Caenorhabditis elegans: one gene and its partner. The protein of the gene in region 2 purifies or fractionates together with the protein of the main gene of each other region. This does not show direct contact. Each region holds a gene or a part of one and is shown on either strand. Other genes may lie near its edges.

What was found.
Region 1: the proteins of sptl-1 (region 2) and ucr-11 fractionate together in Caenorhabditis elegans (co-fractionation; one large-scale study listed by BioGRID). This does not show direct contact.

Annotation. Positions count from the first base shown.
Region 1 is NC_003279.8:6,548,907-6,559,986, forward strand, and holds ucr-11 (Cytochrome b-c1 complex subunit 10), read right to left. Parts: upstream 4,474-11,080; 5' UTR 4,466-4,473; coding exon 4,410-4,465; intron 4,145-4,409; coding exon 4,030-4,144; 3' UTR 3,928-4,029; downstream 1-3,927. Other genes in the region: F57B10.8 (Activator of basal transcription 1), read right to left, coding at 1-101, 154-235, 279-448, 496-597, 1,126-1,277, 1,351-1,444; spg-20 (Inheritance of peroxisomes protein 1), read right to left, coding at 1,780-2,114, 2,167-2,274, 2,395-2,763, 2,810-3,014, 3,094-3,189, 3,234-3,315, 3,421-3,545, 3,596-3,706; Dolichyl-diphosphooligosaccharide--protein glycosyltransferase subunit dad-1, read right to left, coding at 4,708-4,838, 5,173-5,383; tre-1 (Trehalase), read left to right, coding at 5,995-6,023, 6,069-6,169, 6,655-6,878, 6,924-7,024, 7,071-7,163, 7,785-8,198, 8,382-8,685, 8,730-9,020 and 1 more; xpg-1 (XPG (Xeroderma Pigmentosum group G) DNA repair gene homolog), read left to right, coding at 9,794-9,881, 10,016-10,254, 10,717-11,043.
Region 2 is NC_003280.10:44,063-55,696, reverse strand, and holds the start of sptl-1 (Serine palmitoyltransferase 1), read right to left. Parts: upstream 4,046-11,634; 5' UTR 4,039-4,045; coding exon 3,815-4,038; intron 3,760-3,814; coding exon 3,559-3,759; intron 3,483-3,558; coding exon 3,082-3,482; intron 2,697-3,081; exon of another isoform or gene 2,603-2,696; coding exon of another isoform or gene 2,351-2,602; intron 2,304-2,350; coding exon of another isoform or gene 995-2,303; intron 942-994; coding exon of another isoform or gene 628-941; intron 543-627; coding exon of another isoform or gene 393-542; intron 1-392. Other genes in the region: tre-5 (Trehalase), read left to right, coding at 393-542, 628-941, 995-2,303, 2,351-2,602; C23H3.5 (Nucleolus and neural progenitor protein-like N-terminal domain-containing protein), read right to left, coding at 5,834-6,081, 6,131-6,285, 6,960-7,710, 8,056-8,113; rpoa-49 (RNA polymerase I associated factor, A49-like protein), read right to left, coding at 8,326-8,463, 8,708-9,583, 10,319-10,468, 10,518-10,652; Nuclear transcription factor Y subunit nfyc-1, read right to left, coding at 10,848-10,918, 10,973-11,216, 11,262-11,522, 11,574-11,634; rpt-4 (putative 26S proteasome regulatory subunit 10B), read left to right, coding at 9,565-9,585.

The DNA of each region.
Region 1 (11,080 bases), on a different chromosome or scaffold from region 2:
TTATCCCACTTTCCACCGGAAGCTGTAACCTTTGCTTCAAGCTTTCTCAAATGTTTTCCTTTCTCAATTTGTTCTTCAAAGTGAGCAGCAATTCGACGAGCCTTGAAAAGAAGAATATTAATGCAAAGTGGCCAATACCGGGGGTTACTGTACCTGTGCGACTTCCACATTCATTCGTCGTTTTTCCACTTCTTTTTCATATTGTAATTGTTCCATAAGATGTACCCATTTGAAACTAGAAAAATAAAAATTCATGTATATTTTCATGAATAACTTACCCAGATAAATATCTAATATTCCATAACATGCTCGACACTGGATCCTTATTCTTTCCACCAATCGGAGTGTTATCAATTTGTTCAGCAATTGCTTTTGCAATCTTTTTCTTTTTCAACTCCATCCATCCTTCTGAATATAGATATTGCGGATTTTTCGAGTGCTTGTTACGCTAAAAATATAATTTTTATGATTTCATTTGAAAAAAAAATAAGCTACCGCAAGGAAGATTCGACCAACTTGTCCAGGGCATCGCTTTTCAAAGTATTCACGCATTCGAACCACGTTGTATTTTGGAGGAATTGTTGAGAAGAAGACAACCTGAAAATTACTTTTTTTTATCTGTGGCCTCTAAAATAGTCTAAAATTATATTTTATCAACAATCCGAGAAGGGATCTTTTGAAGTTAACTAATCCTTCTGAAGAATTACTTAAAATTTTCTAACATTCTGATTGTGAGCAGAATATTTTTTGTTTTTTTAAACAAAATTAATTTTTAAAAGCGAAAAAAACCTGGAAAATTCTTTTAACCTGTCGGTAACTCAAAACTCATAAATTTTCATTAAAATTAGGAAAAAATTGGTATTTTTTTGCGCTTTAGACTCGGAATAAATTCTATACAGAAAAACGACACTCAGAATTGTAACTGTGCAAAGTGTTTCTATTTAAAAAATGCAAAAATGTTCGTTATAAGCTCTGCTTAAAAAAAACGATTTTTCATGTTTCCTTTTCGATTAAAAAATGTTTCGCTTTTTTTTATTTTTTCAATTACGAAAAAAACGTTTTTTTTCTAGGATTCAACCCTAATTCTCAGGTATTTTCGAATAAAAAAGTTAAAAAAAAACTTACACCAGTCTTCTTTTGTTTTTGTTCTGGATCCTCAAAAGTCTCCATTTCATCATCTTCTGATTCTTCTGTTTTAATTTCAGAATCGTCCAGATTTCCAGCTTCATCTTCATTATTATCTGTTTCAATGCTTTCCTCTTTTGGTTCAAGCATTTCTGAAAATTTTGATATTTTCGGATAAAAATTGCGAAATCAATTTATAGTGCAAGCATTAGTTCGAATATTCACCTTTTTCCTCTTCCATTTTCATATCTTCTTCTACAACAGGCTTTTTGATCGATTTTCTCACAATTTTCTTCTTCTTTTTTGGAATAGGCGCCATTTTTCCAAAATTTATAATTGCTCGAGATTTTCCAATACGTTAAAATCCTCAAAAATTTTCTACGTTTTTTTTTTTCGAAAATCGCACTGAAAACAAATCGGTATTTTTTGCGCTTTCAAGGCATAAACATTCAGAGATATAGAATTTTAGATTAAATACATGTATGGTTCAAATATAACTGTTTTGCGAAAATAGATTTATTAAATAATACAATGCAAAAAAATTAAGTTCGATGCATGAAAAATTAAACTTCGTAAAAATTAACTGGAATTGAAGAAGACATGAGGAAATTTGTATTCAAATTGTTTCTAAAATAATGTTTTCAAAAAAAAAATCTAGACAGCCTTCTTGAGCTCCAAAGCTGGCACTTCTTGATCTAAACGACTTCCTTTTCTACTGTGATGCAAATCCGATACCATTTGAATTCCAGCTTTTCTTGCCATCCTTCCAGCAACACTTCTTGGTCCCAAATCCCATAGTTGAGCAGCTGCAAGTGTTCCGTGTCCGGCAGCGAAAAGAGCATGATGAGTGGTATCTGATGCATCGTCTCCGTACTTGAGTTTCACGTTCTGTACAGTTTGATTCGCAATACTTCGGCATAGATGACGGGAACCATCTTCCAAACTCATCCAAACTGTGGCAACACCAGTGATTCCGCCTCCAAGAATTTCTGAAAATAGTAAAATAAAAATTATTTTATGGAAACCAGTTATAAGCCATACCAATGGTTCCGGATACGAGTCCTCCACTTTTTCCATCTCCAAATCGTCTTTGTGCACTATCTGCCAATTTCTTTCCCATCGAAACGCCCATATCTCCGATTTTGTCCACTGAAAATTTGAATTTTTAAATCCCTAATACTTGAAAAAATATTTGGCCAACTTTTCGTGTCCAAAATATTTTTCAGAATCTCTTCTCTACAAACTTCTCTCTTAAAGTCGAAAACTTACACAAATATCTTGTGCACTTAGCGACTGTCTTTGTTCCTTTATGCATATAAACTACACTTCCTTTGATAACTGGAGACACTTGCATTGGTTTGTCCGTTGCGATAAGTGTTGTTCGATACTGTTCTCCATTATCTTCAACTCTTGAAATCACTCGTACGGTTGTTGTTTCAACTCCCCAAGCTATTTTTTGACCTCCTTTGATCAGAAAATTCGAAATTGTTGTAGAAATCCTATTCTTCTCTTCTTTACTCAGTTCAGTAGATGGTTCAGCTTGTTCTTTGAAATCCGTGAATTCACGGAGAACAATGTGAAGTTCTTCAATTAATCTTCGCTCAATGTCTGATGATAGTAGGATTGCAACAGTCATGTCTGAAAATTACAAATTGAAATCTTTGAATGTCTGAATTTTTCCCACTTGGATTTTCTGGAGTCGGATTGGCAACCAAATATGCTCCGAATTCGTTACGAAGCACTGGAGTCTTTGCACCCATCAATGGATATGCCCAAGGCCCAACTTGCATGAATGCAAGTGTATCTGAAGAAGCTCCACCATCAGTTGGCTGAGGAAAACGGAGAATTTGAAGAGATGTTGGAGCAGTTGGAGCAGTTGTTTTTTCCCCCTGAAAATATAATAAAATTGTAGAAATATTTAGAAAACTATCTATAAAAGAAATTTAAACAAAAGAAGAAAACACTTACATCAATTGTGAAGAGTTGCACACCTTCCGGCAAAAAATAAATCAAGTCAGCTTCCTGAGATCCAAAGGAGTCGAGCTGCATTCTGATTGCTTCTTTCTGAAAAAGGAAAATGAATTTAATTAATTAAAATGAGTAAATACCTCGTTTTCAACACTTTCTTCAGCTTCCTTGATTTTCTTTGGAGTTGGTTGCTTTGGTCCTTCCTTTTTCAGAACGTTGATTCTATAAACTTTTTTTTTTTTCAAATAAAAAGTCGAAAAAAATAATGTGAACTTTAAAGGTACTTTTTCGCGGTTTTATCAACGTTTTTAATTCAAAATCACTCACCTATGCTGGACACTTGATTTTGATTCTTGTAACATTTTCCACATTTCACTTTTCCTCGCATTTTTCATTTTCTCTCCTTCGACGATCAAATTCAATCCTTTTTCGTACATTGCGAGAGTATTTTCCTTAAAAAAACAATTATTTTCAAAGTTTTCATTCAAAATAATAAACATACCCAATCATTAACCTCATCGTAGCATAATCCCTGTTCAATTGATGCATATGCTCCAGAAAATACTGCATCAACCTGAGCAGTATCAGGAATTCTCATAAATATCGAGAACATTGCTGAAAATTTGACTGAAACAAGTGATTCGAATGAGAAAAAACGGCACGAGTAAAAAAACATGCAAGAGACCACACAACAACAGCGAAAACAAGTTTAGTCGTCGGCGTCTCTCTTCTGAATTACTATCTCTGCTCAGTGGCTCGCTATGAGTCACAACAATTTCGAAATCCCGGCGCTAAGCGACTGTGCATAAACTATTTTTCAACGAAAAAGAGGCCAATAATAGAAAGTTTATCCGAGCAAAAAGATTCTAGAAGATAAACATCTTCATAATTCTAAAAAAGTCAATCAACGATCGGAATAGGTGTTGAGGATTTAATCTATTCGACGTAACGCTTGTTCCAGAGTGGGATGTACTGTCCGACGGTTTTCCATTCACAGAAGTAGATGGCCAAAAGGAAAGCGGATCCTCCGTATGCTCCATACGACTTGAAGCTGGAAGAAAATCATAGAACATCCTAACCGAATCCACGTTCATTGTGAAAATGTTTAAATTATTATAAACACTCAAAACAAATAAATTGCGAGTGTTCGCAGAAGACTAGGTAATTAAACCACAGCGGGCTGCTTTTTGTATTTTACAATTTGTATTTAGATGTGAAAGATCGGAATGAAGTTAAAAACTTGTGTTTTTGCGGTGGCAAGTATTTTCAATAAACAATCTATGCTTAAACTTCTTCGTTTTTAGTATTTAACTTACTAATTAGGGTTGGTGAAGGCGTTCTTCACGAAACGAGCTGGCTTCATGTACAGCATGATTCAACCTGATTAGTTTATAATTGTTCAGCTGGATGAGAATGTGCACATCAAAAGTAATTTGCGACAATAACGCAGTTTTCTTCTTGAATACTAAAAACTTCTAATTAAAACAGAAACATATTTTATTAAATTAGGTGTAACACAGCAAGAGAAACGAAACCCCAGGTGGCATTTTGCAACACAAATAAATTAATGGAAGGAATTGAAACAAATAAATACATATTAAAGCTTTTCAGAGTTTATCCCAAGAAGTTGACGACGACAAGATGGAGAATGAGGTTTGCGAAGATGAAATCAGCAAATGCACGTTCTGTCGAGACAGCTGTGAACTCGGAGCGGTTCTCTTGATTTACTTGCATCCTGAGACACGCTAAAACAAAATATTAACGTTTAGAATTAATTGCTTAAAAATACATTTATTTATTATCAATTCATTTGAGGGCTGAAGCGGGGGCCCATTGGAATTTCCAATGTTTATGATACGATGTGAAAATTGCAGTCCATCCGAAACTCAAATGAACATACAATTTATATTTACTTTATTTCGCTTAAGTACCAAACATTTTAAATCAGCGCAAATCTATTAAGAAACCCAGAAACCCTTTTTAGGAAAACAAAGATCACCGTTTTAACCTTTTATTACTGAAAACAATACTCATGTTGCCAATATACTTGAACCCAAATTTTTTGAATAAACAACTCACATGCTAAAACGAACGAAGTGACAGTGGAGATGAAACCAGAGAGGAACGAGTTGAATGGGAATGTACCGACGAGCAAGCAATAAATGAATTGAAAGATTCCGGTGAACAGGATGTATGTCATGTAAGCATCAATGATTTTCAGCTTCGATGATGTTGTCTTTTGGTAGTCATCGAACAGTTTCGAGAGAACTGGAACTACTTGAGCCGCCATTCTGTAATTAATTTAATATCTTTGAGATACAACAGAACAATAAGATAAAATATATTAGAAAGGAGCGAAAAAACATAAATTTTGAATTAGAAAATGCAACCTAGTTATCTTGAAACATGTTCATGAAAAAATAAAATTTAAAGCATTCAGACTTTTATTTTTGCTAGTATAATAAAAGAGAAATGTCTTTCATGACCTGTATTTAACGAATATAAATGTCCCGCAAAGTATAAATCCTTTAAAAATAACAATATTAATATTTAAAAAGCTTAAAAAGAGCAACGTGGCACAACAATCAAGTAAAAAGCGGCGGGCGGCGTTTAAAGGAGCACACATTTTTGCTAGTTGTTTCGCTGCGGGACCAAAGTCCCCGCCCAATTGCAACTCTGCGGCACGCACTTTTGCAGTGGCGCCGCACACTTTCATGTTTTGTTGATTTATTTTTCATTTTGTGAGACACGAGACGTTGAGGGCACTCGGCTGACATCAGAGAAGAAAGAAGAAAAATCAACGATATTTTGCCAATTTTTCCGCCCACAAATTCGAATTAGTGTCTGACCGAATGCCTTGTCATTAACATTCTCTGTACTCTTCATCCCCTATAGGAAATTATGCTCTACACTGTAATCAACCTCCTAGCGTAAGTTTCCTTTGAAATATTCTTGAAAAATGGTTTTTTTTCTAGACAAATCTATTGCAATGGACCAATTCTTCAAACTGTACAAGATTCACACATGTTTCCAGACTCGAAGCACTTCGTCGATATGTCACTAAAATATGATCCAAGTAAGGTTTTTGGTTTTTAATGTTGTTGTTACGTAAAAATCACATAACAAAACATAAAAACAATCTATCAAAGACGCTATCTTTATCACCTGAACCGGTTTTTGCAACGGAGTTGTAAATTTGAAAGGTCTTGTTGATTGTAAATTAAATCTTTGTTAAAAGTCAGGAAAGAAGAATATTTTCAAGCAGCTGACAGACACGAGCTTCCTCAAATTCAAAGAGCAATTAGAAGTCAGAGAATCAACTACTGACCTTTAGTGTTTTGGGAAAAAAATTGAAATCAGGCCATATCATAACTTTTTTGGTGGATGATGATTGGTAAAAAGATAATTGAATTACATCTTCCACCACGTGACTTTCGAAAAAGGAATGCTAAATGTTAAAATTGAATGAGGTAAGCAATTGAAAACGATGAGACCGGTTTTTGGGTTATATTTTGTGATCGAGATGTTCGAAAAACGAATGTTTAAATTTTTCTTTTTCAGTTACGACACTTCGACATTTCGACGAGCTTGGTGATCGAACTTCAGATATGATTATTTTAAGGGAATTTGTAACTTCACATTTTAATCCGCCTGGAAGTGAGCTGGTTGAATGGTTTCCTCCAGATTGGGTCGATTTTCCATCAAACTTTTTGAATATTCATGATTATCACCATAGACGATGGGCATTGCATTTACATAGGATTTGGAAAGATTTATGTAGAAAAGTAATCTTATTTTGCTTAATATTGATTGTAAATGAGCAATTTCAGGTTCGAGATGACGTCAAGCATCGTCAAGATCACTATTCACTTCTATATGTTCCTCATCCATTTATTATCCCGGGTGGTCGATTTTTGGAGTTCTACTATTGGTGAGCTTCATTGTTTCAGTGAATATAAAATATCGAATTATTTCAGGGATACTTTCTGGATACTCAAAGGGCTTCTCTTCTCAGAAATGTATGAAACAGCTCGAGGAGTTATCAAAAATCTAGGATATATGGTTGATAAGTGAGTTTTAGATTTCATATCCAAATTTGGAACATGATGCTGAACAGCTTCCGCGAATAATTATTTCCAATTTCCTTAATTTAGAAGATTTATTCACAGCTCAAAACCAAAAAGGAACTGTTTTTTTATTTAGAAAAAAGATTACGGAGACATCGTTACTCTTCAAAAATCCCTATCATTTTGACACTAGCATTAGTATGATAAGAATTGATTGATGGACTCATACTTTTTTCGAATTGACATGCGCCCATCATGTGACCTATTAAGTAAAGAATGTTCGTTTTTTGATTCGTATTAGGGAGTGGTGCTGGTGTCCTCGGTACAAAAGTAGGAAATTGGTAGGCTGCACATATCTGAACAAATATCGATGGAAATTAGACAATTTTTTATATTTGGGAATTTATTATGGAAGCGAAAATGTAGGTGAAACACCATAAATATTTGAAAGAAATGAGAAATTAAAAAAAAAAGAATTGAATAAAAATCAAGGCGCTAGTTTTTTTGGTGCAAAAAAGGAGGATAGATAACTGTTCGAATGTTTATTCTTTCAGTGGTAAAATGATCTACTGAATTGGCCACTAGAATAAAGTTCTCCAATTTGATAATAAAGATTAATTTCAGTCACGGTTTCGTACCAAATGGAGGTCGTGTCTATTATCTAACACGTTCCCAACCACCTCTATTGACACCGATGGTCTACGAATATTACATGAGCACAGGAGATTTGGATTTTGTAATGGAAATTCTTCCAACCCTTGACAAAGAATACGAGTTTTGGATTAAAAATCGACAGGAATGGTTCAAAGACAAAGATGGTGTCAAGCAGTTTCCATATTATCAATATAAGGCTAAACTCAAAGTACCGAGACCAGAATCATATCGTGAGGATTCGGAATTAGCAGAGCATCTGCAAACTGAAGCGGAGAAAATTCAAATGTGGAGTGAGATAGCGTCGGCTGCCGAGACGGGATGGGATTTCTCCACTCGATGGTTTTCTCAAAATGGAGATACAATGCATCGAATGGATTCTATAAGGTATCGAGGGTGTTGGTTTTTTGGTTAAAAAAAAATCTTTTTTTGTTAATTTTCTATACTTTTTTTTCCGATTTTTTGGTTTTCTGGATTAATCGAAAAAGAAAACAGAGAATTTCTGTGACATGCTGTCTTTACAAATTCAAAAATTACAGTTCCGAGGTTTTAATTCTAAATCAAATTCAGAACGTGGAGCATTATCCCAGCCGATTTAAACGCTTTCATGTGTGCAAATGCTCGAATTCTGGCGAGTCTTTATGAAATTGCTGGTGATTTCAAAAAAGTGAAAGTATTTGAACAACGATACACTTGGGCAAAACGGGAAATGCGTGAATTACATTGGAATGAAACAGATGGTATTTGGTATGATTATGATATCGAATTGAAAACTCATTCAAATCAATATTATGTATCAAATGCTGTTCCTTTGTATGCAAAATGTTATGATGATGATGATGATATTCCACATCGTGTTCATGATTATTTAGAGGTTAGTGTCACTCTAAAAAAAACGTATATATTGGGAATTTTCAGCGCCAAGGACTATTGAAATACACAAAAGGTCTTCCAACATCTCTTGCAATGAGTAGTACGCAGCAATGGGATAAGGAAAACGCATGGCCTCCAATGATTCATATGGTTATCGAAGGATTCCGTACAACTGGTGACATAAAACTGATGAAAGTTGCTGAAAAGATGGCAACGTCATGGCTTACTGGAACATATCAGTCATTTATCAGAACTCATGCTATGTTTGAAAAGTATAATGTTACTCCACATACTGAAGAAACTTCTGGAGGAGGTGGAGGAGAATATGAAGTTCAAGTGAGTATTTAAAGATGTAATTCCGAAATTCCACAAATGGAAAAAAAAATAATCAGAAAAATTGAAAAGTTTTTTTTCAAAAAGCGATTTCTCAATTTTGACTGAATTTTTGTTTGTTTTTTTCAAAAGTTAGATGATTCTTCTTTTTTTCTTTTCGTATTCCTAAATTTTGAACTATTCTGGATATTTTCAAGCAAAATCCCACTGAGAAAATAATGTAAATTAACAGAAAAAATTGGAAAAAAAAATCATTTCCAGACTGGCTTTGGTTGGACAAATGGCGTTATTTTGGATTTATTGGACAAATACGGAGATCAATTTGCATCCAGCTCTACAGCTTCCAAATTCAGTTTTTCCCTTTCGAATATCACATTTGTAGTTTTTATTTTGTATATTTTCTCATAGATTCCTGTAGAATTTGCACCTGATTTTATTATTTTCTGTTGTGTATAGTCCAGTTCCCTCATTTAGATCTTTTTTAACTAAAGAATCAAAAACATTGCCATAGCGATTGCCTTAATTTTTTTGTTTTAAATATCAAACTCACATTTTGCTTTTTCTCATCCGGTCCAACCCCCCATTTTCAGATTATAACGATTGTTTTCTTTCGGGTTCTTTTTTTCCTTATTTTCAAAAAACCTTTTTTAGTTCATAAAATTTTTACTTATACCAGTTCCTTATACCAGTATATATTGGTTTTTATGTCACGCAATTCTAATGTAATATATTTGATTTATCATCAAATTTCCCAATTATAGAAATTAATTCAAGATATGGGAATCACTGGATTATGGAAAATTGTAGAACCAACGGCAACAGAGATTCCTTTGGAATGTTTAGAAGGAAAAAAATTGGCAATTGGTAAGCTAAAAAACAAATTCAAAACTATGTAAAATTGTTTTATTTCGTATATTTAAGTTTTCATGTATTGGGGTACTGTACTTTTCACTTTTATTCTGACATTACATGTTTTGTAATTTTTATCATTTTTTCAGATGTTTCAATTTGGATCTATCAGGCTCAACTCGCATATCCATCGGATCAACCGTTTCCACATCTGCGTCTCCTTGTAAATCGTCTCTCTAAACTTTTATTCTACAAAATTCGTCCTGTTTTCGTGTTTGATGGACCACAAGTACCACCTCTCAAACGTCAAGTCTTAGAAGCGAGACGGCAAAAAAGACAGAATGATGATGATATTCTTAAGAATTCGAAGAAAATGGGAAAATTAAAGGTGCTGAAAAAATCTCAAAAAATTAGGGTAAAATTAATTTATTTAGAACTTCATGAATTTTTCAGACAGCGAAAAAATAACAAAATTTTTCCATCAAAAACATGACGAAAAACAACGAAAAAGCTCTGTTCATGAAGCAAGAATACGGCGCACGGTCTCGAAACAACCGAAAATTTTCTTTGAAAAATACTCCGAAAATGGTTATGCGCCTTTAAGTAGTACTGTAGCTCCCGTTTCCTATTTTTTGCAATTAAATTTTTGGTTGTTAAAAGACAAACTAGATTTTTTTTGTTTTTTAAAAGAGCAAAAAAATGAGCACACTCTTCACGATCTTCATTAAAATATATCGATTCGTTTCAAGACCCGGCTCTATATTCTCGCATCAATTTTTTTGAAGTTTTTAACTGTTTAAAAAGTTTTAAATTATTTCCAAATTCTTTTGTTAAACCAATCAATTTTCAGGAAATTGCCAGTGGTGGTCTTGATGACGTGGCACTTGCGAATGCAATCAAAGAAGTTATAAGTCCATCGAAAAAAGTAATTCTGAACGACATTTATAAGGATATTCCCTCAACAAGCACATATTTGGATAAACCTTCTGCACATCAAAATGATCAGCTTGTTTATGGAAATATTGAAGATTCAGATTCAGATGATAGTGATATTATTATTGTACCTACTGTAAAAGAAGAACGAATTTCGAAACAATTTACTTCTCGGAAACTGGAAATTCAAAGTCTCGTGGAAAAAAGAGAGATCATGAGAAATAGCAGATTACGGCCTGATATGGTTGGATTTTATCTTTTAAAAAAGTGTTTTTACAATA
Region 2 (11,634 bases):
TGTATTTTTGAGGGTACCATTCTTTTAAAAAAAGTTAACTAATTCTACCCATAGATCATTTTCTACAGTACACGCCCATCGAACACATCAGGTATTTAAGATAGTTCCTCATTTAACTAATTTCTCACCATGTTCTTTGCCACGTGACTGTTCTTCAAGGCCATCGTCACGTGGGAATTTCCCGTGGAATTTAAGACGAAGATATTCTGATTGTAACATGTCATTTGAGTCTCCTAGATTATTTTTTTTCCGTTGATCTAACGAGAATAACGAATAACAACAACATATTTATATTGAAAACTCGGAGTATTCGACTAACACTTCCATTTCCGATAGCAATTATCACTTTTATTCTTCGAACTATTGTATAGAGTAACCTTTAAATTTTGCAGATGAGAGAGACTCTCTTAGCTATCCTATTAATAGTTTACGTTTCTGCAAGACCACAAAAAGATCCAAGAGGGCCGAATATCATAGACGATAATGCCGATTTTGGAACACCAGAGCATGACAATCGAGTACATACCGAGCTAACGCAATTGGTGAGTGTTCTAGAATCAATTAAAAATTATGTTTCATTCCTAATGAAGCTTTAAGACAGTCTCAAGATCGATATCGGTTTTCCAGACCGATAAGGAAGTCGCTCAGTTGATTGGATCCGACTATTTTAATGGAAGTGTTCTACCATGTGATAATGAAACAGCGCCTGGACAATGGATGATCTACTGTAGTGGTAAACTTCTACAGACTGTCATGGCCGTCCAATTGTATCCGGATTCCAAGACTTTTGTGGATCAGCCAATGAAAGAAAATCAAACTGGAAAGTCTATTATGGAGCATTTTGAAAAACGTTTCCCTGTTTCTATTGAGAAGATAACCAAGAAAGATGTTGCCGAATTTGTTGATGAATTTTTCGATAAAGAAGGCAACGAGTTAGATGTGTAAGTTGACATAATTAATTTCGAAGTTGTAATATCCAAGCGTGTGTTTTCAGTTGCGATCTTCCTGACTGGAGGCCCATTACAGAACAATTGGCTAATATCAAAGATGCTAGCTATCAGGCCTTTGCTCAACGACTTCATTTCATTTGGATTCAACTTTGCCGCCAGATAAAGCCAGAAGTGAAAAATGATCCATCTCGTTTCTCTCTCATTTATGTGCCATATCAGTTCATCCTTCCTGGAGGAAGGTTCCGTGAATTCTACTATTGGGATGCATATTGGATACTCAAAGGGTTAATCGCGTCTGAACTGTATTCAACTGCAAGAATGATGATATTGAACTTCGCACATATAATTGAAACGTATGGTTTTGTGCCGAACGGAGGCCGAGTTTATTACCTTCGAAGATCTCAGCCACCGTTTTTCGCACCAATGGTATACGAGTATTACTTGGCAACTCAGGACATTCAACTAGTAGCAGATTTGATACCAGTTATCGAAAAAGAGTACACATTTTGGAGTGAAAGAAGAACTGTTAATGTGACCTATGAGCATCCGGACTTGAATGAAACACTTCACATGTTCCAGTACAGAACAGAGGCTGAAACTCCAAGACCTGAAAGTTTCAGAGAGGATGTACTGAGTGCAGAACATTTTACAACAAAGGATAGGAAGAAGCAGTTTTTCAAAGACTTGGGAAGTGCGGCAGAAAGCGGATGGGACTTTTCGAGTAGATGGTTTAAAAATCATAAAGATATTTCAACTATTGAGACAACTAATATAGTACCAGTGGATTTGAATGCCTTTCTTTGCTACAACATGAACATTATGCAATTGTTCTATAAACTTACCGGAAACCCCTTGAAACATTTGGAGTGGTCATCTCGTTTTACAAACTTCCGTGAAGCATTCACAAAGGTATTCTACGTACCGGCTCGAAAAGGATGGTACGACTATAATCTTCGGACACTCACCCACAATACTGACTTCTTCGCATCCAATGCTGTACCTCTATTCTCGCAGTGCTACGACCCACTGAACTCTCAGATTGCAGTGGATGTGTACAATGAAATGCAGAATTCTGGGGCGTTCTCAATACCCGGCGGAATTCCAACAAGTATGAACGAGGAGACGAACCAGCAATGGGATTTCCCAAATGGTTGGAGTCCAATGAATCATATGATCATTGAAGGACTTCGCAAGTCTAACAATCCAATTCTACAACAAAAGGCGTTTACTCTTGCTGAGAAATGGCTGGAGACTAATATGCAAACATTCAATGTTTCCGATGAAATGTGGGAGAAATATAATGTAAAGGAGCCACTGGGAAAGTTGGCGACTGGTGGAGAATACGAAGTTCAGGTTAGTAAGGTAGAGGAACTACGAAACCTAAAAAATGATCATTTCAGGCCGGATTCGGTTGGACCAATGGTGCAGCACTGGATTTAATTTTCACATATTCCGATCGACTACAGTATAACGGGCCGATATTAGAATCATTGGTCGGATCACAAACGACGTCTATGAAATCGTCACCAGATTCGTCGACATCTCTACCAATTGATATCACCACTACCATCACGACATCATCATCATCCTCTACTTTCGGGTACAGTAACATTCTCACACTTATTACGGTGTTTGTATTATATATTTTATAGATTCGATTGTTTTTATAGGAATTATTTCAATTGTACATTTAATTTTTGCAAACGGGGTATTACTTTTCTCTATATATAAAGCTTTCCTATCCTATTTTTGTGTTTGTATTGGTCTGTGGTATTTTTCATGCTAAACTTAGCGGCAGAGGAGCACTGAATTGGAAAAAAGTGGCTCTGAAAATGTTTCAATGCATTTTTTCACAACTTTGAGGTCCGTAAAATGGCTCTAAATGTGAATTTTTTGCAGATTTTGATGATTTCCCGGATGTTTAGGGGCCGGCTAACATTCAGATTTTTTTTGAAATTTTTTTTTAATTTTCGAAAAAATCTGAAATTTTGCCACGGATTCAAAAAATTTCAAACTAAAAAAAGAACGTTTTTTTTTATTTTAAAAAATTCCAAAAAAAACTTCTGAATGTTTTTCTTCAAAATAGTTAACCACCATACGAAATTTTTGAAATTTTTTTCATTAAGCTTACCTCTTCCGGTTTTTCCAATGACTCCAAATGACCAGCTTTCGTCAATGAAAACACGAACTTTGAATCGCCATTTGAACTCGATAATCTTGGGAAGTGGGCAAAGATCCGCATAATTTACATAGAGGCCTTCAACAACAATGAATCGCCGTACAGACTTGGCCTTTTTCGGGTCTTTCTTGTCTCTTTGTTCTTGTTCCAGTAATAACCTCTCCAAGTGCTCCATGTCGTTATGCTTGAAATATTCAACACGACTTCGTGATGCTTGAAGACCTTTTTGGATTGCAAAGTTAACACCTTCGTCAACAAAGATGACATCTCCCTTTTTAGCGTATGCGGGAATTGCTGAAGATACTGTAGCAAACCCATAGCTGTACAGAACAGCCTCCTCACATCCCATAAATCTGGAAAATAAATCTTTAAATTAAAATTTGTAACTATAGTAAGTTGTCTCTTTATAACTATAGTAAGTTGCCTCACTTTGCCAATTCTTTTTCAAGGTCCAAATGAACATCAACAGTTCCGTAGAATCCACGTGGCCCGCACGATCCTACGCCGTACTTGAAAATCGTCTGTTTCGCACGGTCTTCAATCCGTTTGACTCCGATAAAGCTGAGGAAATTTGTTGATGCCATGTTGAGATACTTTTCGCCATCGATCGAAACATCCTTTGTCATTTTTCTGCAATTTGGGGGAATGAATATGTGAAAAAAGCCTAAAAACGAGTAAAACTCACCCATCAGCATATTTTGGATTCAGTACAGGATGGTCTTGTGGTGTTTCAGGAACCAATGGTTCCGGAGTCCAATCAGCAATTAATTCATCTTTCTGCCTTTCAGTTAGTTTCTTTGAAAGTTTTTCTTGTTGACGTTTGGATCTGTTCCGCATGACAACATAGGCAAGAAGTGCAACGAGCAAAGTTTCAATGTAGAAATGCCACGAATCTGGTAGAAATCCCATGTTTAGTCTGAAAGTAATATAGGTAACACGGGGTGCTGTCCCATCGCGGTTTGATCTACAAAAAAATGCGGGAATTTTTTCTCCAGAAAAATGCGACGTCAGCACACTCTTAACCGCACAAAATCAGTTGAGAAGTCTAAGTGTCTAAAATCCCACAAGTCTTGGAGGTCAAACCGAAATGGGGCATTCCTACACCACGTGAGGTATACAAAATTGTAAAAAGAGGTCGGAGCTCATGCTCATGTGCAACACACAAAAGAAAGAACGAATAAGAACAGGTTGCTAGGTCAACACCACCTGCGTCTCTTCAGTTATGCAAACTATTTCATGTAGGCTTTCAATGAACGTATTGTCGTTTGATATTTAAATGTAATAGCTTTAAAAATACAAGTTGTATTCTATCAGTTTTCCGGTCAATTATTAGGTTTTTGCAATAATGTTAGAATTACAAGAAGAATTTAAATAACAGAGCGTAACCTTTAAATAACCTTTAAATTAGTTTCAAATAGAGTCATAACATACAATTTACAAAATAGGAGAAATGAACCGAGAAAAGTGAGTAGTGTTGAGTGTTTTGTGCACCTTGTGTCTGTCCATCACCCCATATTTCTCGATATCTTTCTTTTCTCTTCTGTCCTTTTTCTCCTTTTCTTATCGATTCTTATTGGTTTCTAGTTGAAAATGATGGCACCTTTATGTGTCATTACATGGAATTTGTGTTCAAAAACAATTAAAGGCAAACTGCCGGAATGAAAACTTCCGGCAAATCGGCAAATTGCCGGAATTGATATTTTCCGACAAATCGGCGAAAGGCCGGAATTGAAAATTTCCGGCAAATCGGCAAATTGGCGGAATTGAAATTCTCGGCAAATCGTCAATTTGCCGGAATTGAAATTTCTGGCATATCGGCAAATAGCCGAAATTGAAAACATCCGGCATATCGGAAAATTGCCGAAATTGAAATCTCGGCAAAACGGCAAAGTGCCGAAATCGAAAATTTTCGGCGAATTGCCGAAATTGAAAAAATCCGGCGTATCGGAAAATTGCCGGAATTGAAATTCTCGGCAAATCGTCAAATTGCCGGAATTGAAAATTTCCGGGAAACCGGCAATTTGCCGAATTTGTCAACAAAAAAATTTTCTGAACGACAATCGCCGCCCACCCCTGATTTTTTGCGTTATTAAAATTATTTTCCTAAAATTTTGCAAAAAAATTTAATTTATCTTTCTTTTGAAAATCTAACTTTTTCCTGTCTGCAGGCAGGTGAGTAAGCACTTCTTTTCCTGAAATTTTCGAATTTCGAAATGAAACAATTCAGTTTCTAAAGTTTTCGTACTTCAAATTTCCTACGAAACGGAACTTTATTGGAGTCATTGCCACAGCTGAAATTTTCCCGGAAAAAAACTATTTAATGCTATCAGTTAGCGGGAGCAGACAGAGACGGGAAAAGATAAAAATCAGAGTTTCAAAGAAACGGCCAGAAAAAAAATAGAATGTTCGACGGTCCAGGGAAACCGTCTAAAAAGAGCAACTGAAACTTAAAAATGTATATATATTTTAACAACAAATTCATAAATGAAGAATCAGCAAATAACAATAACAGTATAATTAAGACTTTTTGCGGAAATATTCGCTATTGCAAACAAGATACGATAATCAAGGCCGCGCCAAAATGTGATGTACCTTTAAGAAATACAGTATTTCAAAAAAATAAGTGCGTAAGGAGACAAAATTCCTATTTGGGTTACTGTATCCAAATGGGCTACTGTAAATGCAGAACAATAAATCGCTCCTTTCACTTTTTATTCATCTTCTTCTTTTTCTTCCTAGGTAGTCCAGCAGCATCTTGTGAGCTATTTAGAATATCCATTGTCGCTGATAAAAAACTAGTCGTCTTCGTTATTTTAGTAGAAGATTCGGCAACCGGATTCATTCTTTTCAACTTATTTTTAATTTTTATGGATTTTGAAGCAAACAAATTCGGGGAAAACAATATAGCATCTTCGTCGCTTTCAATTTCAGGTATTGATGAACAGGATTGACCTAAAATTGGATAATTCTAGTTACTTAGAAGCATATTAGAGACAAAAACCTGTCGTATTCAAGAAGCTCATATCTTCTCGTGAAATTGAGATTCCCAAATCTGACATGTCCATTTGCACGGAATTGTTCGTCTTTTTCTTCTGAAGCTGCGTAGAAATTGGAGAACTCAAATCAGCGGCAAGAATATCAGTTAGAACTTCTGATCTGTAATATTTTTTTAAATAAGTTCTTCAATGCCCTGTGGCTCGGGTTTTTGGCGAGCAACGATTAAATTTTTAGATTTCGAGAAAACTGGAGGTGTACGGTAGGATTACTGTAGTTTCGTTAAAAAATAAATGTTCGTCTTTTGAAGGATAATTGGCTTGGGCTAGTAAGGGGAATATGGTCGGGGTACTGTAATTGTAATTTAGGGGTTTTTTAGGAGTACGTACGTAGGAGTAGGAGTAGTAGTAGGAGTAGGAGTACGGTAGGATTACTGTAGCTTTTGAAAAATTGACTTTTCGTCTTTTGAAAAGATATTGCTTTAGGGTAAGTGGGGAATTTGGCAGGGTCTATAATAATACTGTGGTGAACAATTTGGCAAAATTTCATATTTTTCGAGAACACTTTGACGGGAATTCAAATTTCTTTGGAAAAATGTGTGCGGGAATTCAAACTTTTTCAGAAAAATTTTGGAGGGAATTCAACTTTCTTTATAAAATTTTAGCAGAATTTGAATTTATTCAGAAAAAATCATTTTCTCATTGAAATCAACCTATTTTCATATATTTATAGATAGAATTATTTTTCTGATCAATTTTTTTTTCTAATTTTTAATAATTTCCGGCCATTTTGTGTTTTAATTTTTTTGTTGAAAAAATCAATTTTTGCCAACCTACGTTTTCATTCTCAAATCATTCTCCGTTTGAGCTTGCTTCATTGTTTCAGCATTATACTTCAAAAGACGGCTGATTGCTGTTAGATTTGAAGTTTCCATTCTCCTTTCATCGAAGATTCTTGACTCGTGCCTAATCTTCCGTACAACTTCTAGATCATTAAGTTCTTTCGGAAATTTCAAATCGGCTGTCATCATCACACCGGCTGCTATTTTATACACTTTTTCCATTTCAAGCACTTGAGCGACAACTTCTGAATGAATTTGTGAGCAAAGAGCCACAATAACAAGCGATAAATTGATCCAATGGTCAATTTCTAGTAATCCAATAGCTCCGTCAGCACACTTTACACACGATTCACGAATTCGTTCAAGCAGATAGACTCGTTTGACATAGGCACATCCCATATATCGAACAGCTTTTATTTCCAGCTTATACACGTCGTCACCACCACAATTTTCAGCTTTTCTCAACTGTGGATTCAATCTTTTGATTAATGACATTTCATTGTATTTCTTGACGAGTCTGCTCATTTGACGAAAATGTCCAAAAAACTTCTGATGACGATGCGGACCAGTTTGTTTGTAGATGAGCCACTGAGCAATAGCTTCTGCTTCGGTGTTTATCGGATTTTTGAGTTGGCCAACAATGCTTTTCAACAAAAAGTGCATTGTTCGAGCGGTCGTTGTATCCTTTGTGGGCTCACGTTCAAAAAAACTACCAGGTACATCATTTGAAAATTCATCCAGCATTTCTGAAATCAAGATGTTTGAAATATCCTGGTAATTAGAGGAAATTACGGTTAAAGGTCGAAAATTAAATACCTAATTGAAAATATAGTTTTTTTTTAAATTTGATATTCTCTCTTGAAAAACACCGAGAAAAAACGAAAAAATAGGCAAAATCAAATAATTTTTAATTTTTCTTCGGAACCCGTGCCAAACAATAAGACTTTCTTGTGATTTTTTAAAATTTCGAAATTCGATTTTTATTTGTTTAATTCAATATTTTTCTCAAAAAAGTAAAAATCTTGATTCTAGAAATTATATTTTAGATCTACATTTAGAAATTTCAATTATTTTTATTAAACTATGCATACCAATGAATACATCATCATTTTCTGCTCCTTCCTGTCCTGGGTCTTCGTTAGAAAACATATGCCTGTAACAAAGGTAATCAAATTAAATTTGAAATACAAATTATTAGAAATCTGATTGGTGTTTGAATCCGAATCCCTCCAAAAATCAAGATAGAAAAAAATAAAGATTATAACGGAAATTCATAACAAAACAAGTTTAACGATTTTAGAAAACAAAACAAAACAAATTTGAGGAAAACGAAAAGATTTAAGAAAAAATAAGTAAAATATTTATCGCCGAATGATCTTTCTGGGCCCTTTCTGTTCCAGACTCGGAGGTTTCAAGAGAATCGCGGCACGGAGGGAACGAAGAGTTTGAGCAGACGCCACATCGAGACGAATCAGGTCTGCACCTAGTGCTTGGAACATCTGAAAATGGGGCATTTTGGTGAATAAAACTCTTGTTGGAGTTCTTTGAAAATGTGCTTAATTTTAGAGAATGTTTAGAGAAAAAAATAAAATAAATAATTTCAAAATTATGCGTACGCGAATCTTGTAAAAGTAAAAGTACGCGAATCTTTCTATCACGTTTCATGCACAAAATTGGGTTCATTTTTTCTGGATTTTAGACTATTTTAAACAATTCAAAGCAAAATTTTCAAGTGGGATTTACCTTCTCAAGTTTACTAGGCTGATAACTAAGAGCTTGTTGAAATGGAGTAATCGGTACTTTGTGCTCGGGTGCCAATGTCAATGCCAATGCAAGTGTGTGCGCGATAAAACGATCATAGTCGGTAACATTGAGACGGATTCGTTCGGCTCCACGTCCAGTGTACCCCTTCTCATTAGTACTATCATTGAAAAACTGGGCCTGAACTTTCTGTCGGAGAATATCGGGCATCTTTAGCTCACTCAAATCTTTTCTCAGCAACTGTCTTTGCTTTCCCATTTTTGTGAGGATCTCGATCATGGTGGAGAGTAAAAGATAGGCGGCTGCACGTTGTTTGGTCTTTTCATTGTACATAATAAGAGTAACACACTCTGGAATTCCAGCTTCAAGTTTCTCTTTTTTCTTCTTTTCCATCAGTTCAGTGGCGATCGATTCAATTGCGTCAATCTCAATGTCTTCAAGGAACAAGGAAATTGGATAGATATCTCGTGAAAGTTCCGTTTGAACAGCAGGTGGAAGAATTGATGATTCGGCTTTATTCATCATTGTGATATTCTCCAACTTCACGTCAGCAGCACCATCCTCAGTTTTAACGTTCGAATTCGAAGCGAACGCGGTCTTTCTCATTTCGTCCAATGTTTCTTGATTAATAGTTCTTCGTTGAGCTGCTTCATCCATTTTAATTTTCTTCGAAGAACCAAAATTCGATGTCAATTGACGACGTTTCTCAGCCCATTTCTCTGCTCCAATTGAAAAATCGTTTTTGTATTCTTCAGACGACGATTCCTTCTTGTCACTGAAAATCTTCTCAATGTCTTCTGAGAACTTGCTTTCGAATGAATAGAATCGTGCAGGACGATATGTTGCTTCTCCAGTTCTCTGTAAGTTTTTTTAAAAAATATTCTTATTCAAATACATAATTCGATATTCCTTCAAGAGTACACAAAGGTGGAGTACAGAAATCTGAGAAATATTATTAAATGACTCCAAATTTTACCTTGAACCCGAAAATCTGTGTGAAAAAAATTCAAAGATTTTCTATATTCTATATTTTTTATATAAGCTTGAAATGGCGAATTTCATTTGTGCACCACCCATGAATAACTTTTTTCGCCTCAGAGACGCCATGTGTCGATTTACGAAATTTTTAATCTATATCGGATGCTGATTTCCGTTTTTCATTGATTAAAAAAAAATTTTTGGAGCGTTTGAAAAATCTCAAGGGTTCACAAATGAAATTCGGGGATTTCAAGCTGAAATCCAAAGTCAGTGAAATTTTTTTTTGATAGATTTTCGGAATCAGGGGAAAATTTGGAGTCATTAAAAAATATTGGTACTAGTCCTAAATCACCCCGCCACTTTTTTTATTTGTGTATTATTTCCCCTCATTTTAATATTATTCATTTTAATAAAACGTGATGTCCATTTTCCATCTTTAGGCTTAGAAATGGCTATTTCCTAAGCCTAAAAATACAAAAACTCCACACGTTTTTATTTGAAAAAAAAGAAAAAAAGTGGCGGGGTGATTTAGAACTAGTACCAAAATATTTTTCAGGTTTCGGTACTCAGCCTTTGAAAGAGTGAATTTGTTAGCTAAAATACACTCAAAATTACCTTATCAACCAAAGCAACAGCAAAATCGAATCCCTCATCAAGACAATTAACATCTGCCCCAACTTCTACAACATGCTCGCTAATATCTCCTTTTACGCTGAATATTGGCGCTTTTTTACGTCCTCCTTTTCCGTGTCTTTCGAATGTCAGCTAAAATGGATTTTTATTTTCATTTGAAAGAAGGTGCTTTAGAACAAACGTTTTTCAAATCTTTTGGCCGATTGTGCACGAATGAGGCAACGATATCAGAATCTGCAAATTCTTTGTTGGATTCCACATTTCTCACGTGGCAAGCCGTCTTCTTCGCACTCAGCTCCTCACTTGACAACCACATTTCGCCTCAAATTTAAAGATTTCAAAGTAAAAGCCTGTAAAATGAAAAACAAAGAAATAAGAAAATATATGAATGTGCATATGAAACACAGTATTTTTAGACAAAAAAGGTATAAATTCAAGCTTTTAAAGGGCGCCAGGCGCCACGAACTTAATTTTAATACATAATATAAGCAAGAAAATATTATTATAAAGATCAATTGTGGTGAGATCGGTTGACTGAAGAATTTGAAGTTCTCTGGTGAAAGTCGGAATGCATGTTGGGATCTATAAAAGGTTAAAAATTGCACAAAAATCATATTTAGGAAAAAAACCGAAAACCTTGGAAACTGTCTTCACTCATATGGCCTGGGCCGTTTGTGGAAGTTGTTGGCACCGTTTTCGGAGGTAGAAAGTCGATGAGAAAATCGAACTGATCACTTTTTTGCACTGCGCTTGCTATGTCGGCTTTTTGAAGAATTCGTCGCCTTGCTTCTGACACGTATTGCCAGCCCATTGCGGTCATTTCTTCAATGAAAAACTCGGCTGCTTGAGCCATAAATATCGGAGCATCAGACGCGATCATCTGTAAAAAGTGTATGAAGATCGGCTGGAAAATGACACTACTCACAAAGTTGCGAACATCGTCGTCTATTCGCATAATCTTTTTCACTCTAGCCATGGGAACGCTCATGTTTTTCGACTTGTTCAGCATATCCTCTTCAGAAATCTCAGTCATTTTCTGTTTTTTTTCACGCCAGAAATCTTCTGTCATTTGTCTCATCGAGGCGTACTTTGCCGGTGGTATCGCATCATTGTGATGGATTAAATTATTATAAGGATGAACCGCACCTTCTACAATAGAAGGCATATTTATTGGATGCATGTTCGGCTAAAATGAAATAAAATAAATAAGTTTTTAAAACGAGTTGATTTTATTCACCGTGTAGGGATGTTCCATGAACACTTCTGATTGATTTGTCCCATCATTTTGTATGTATTCG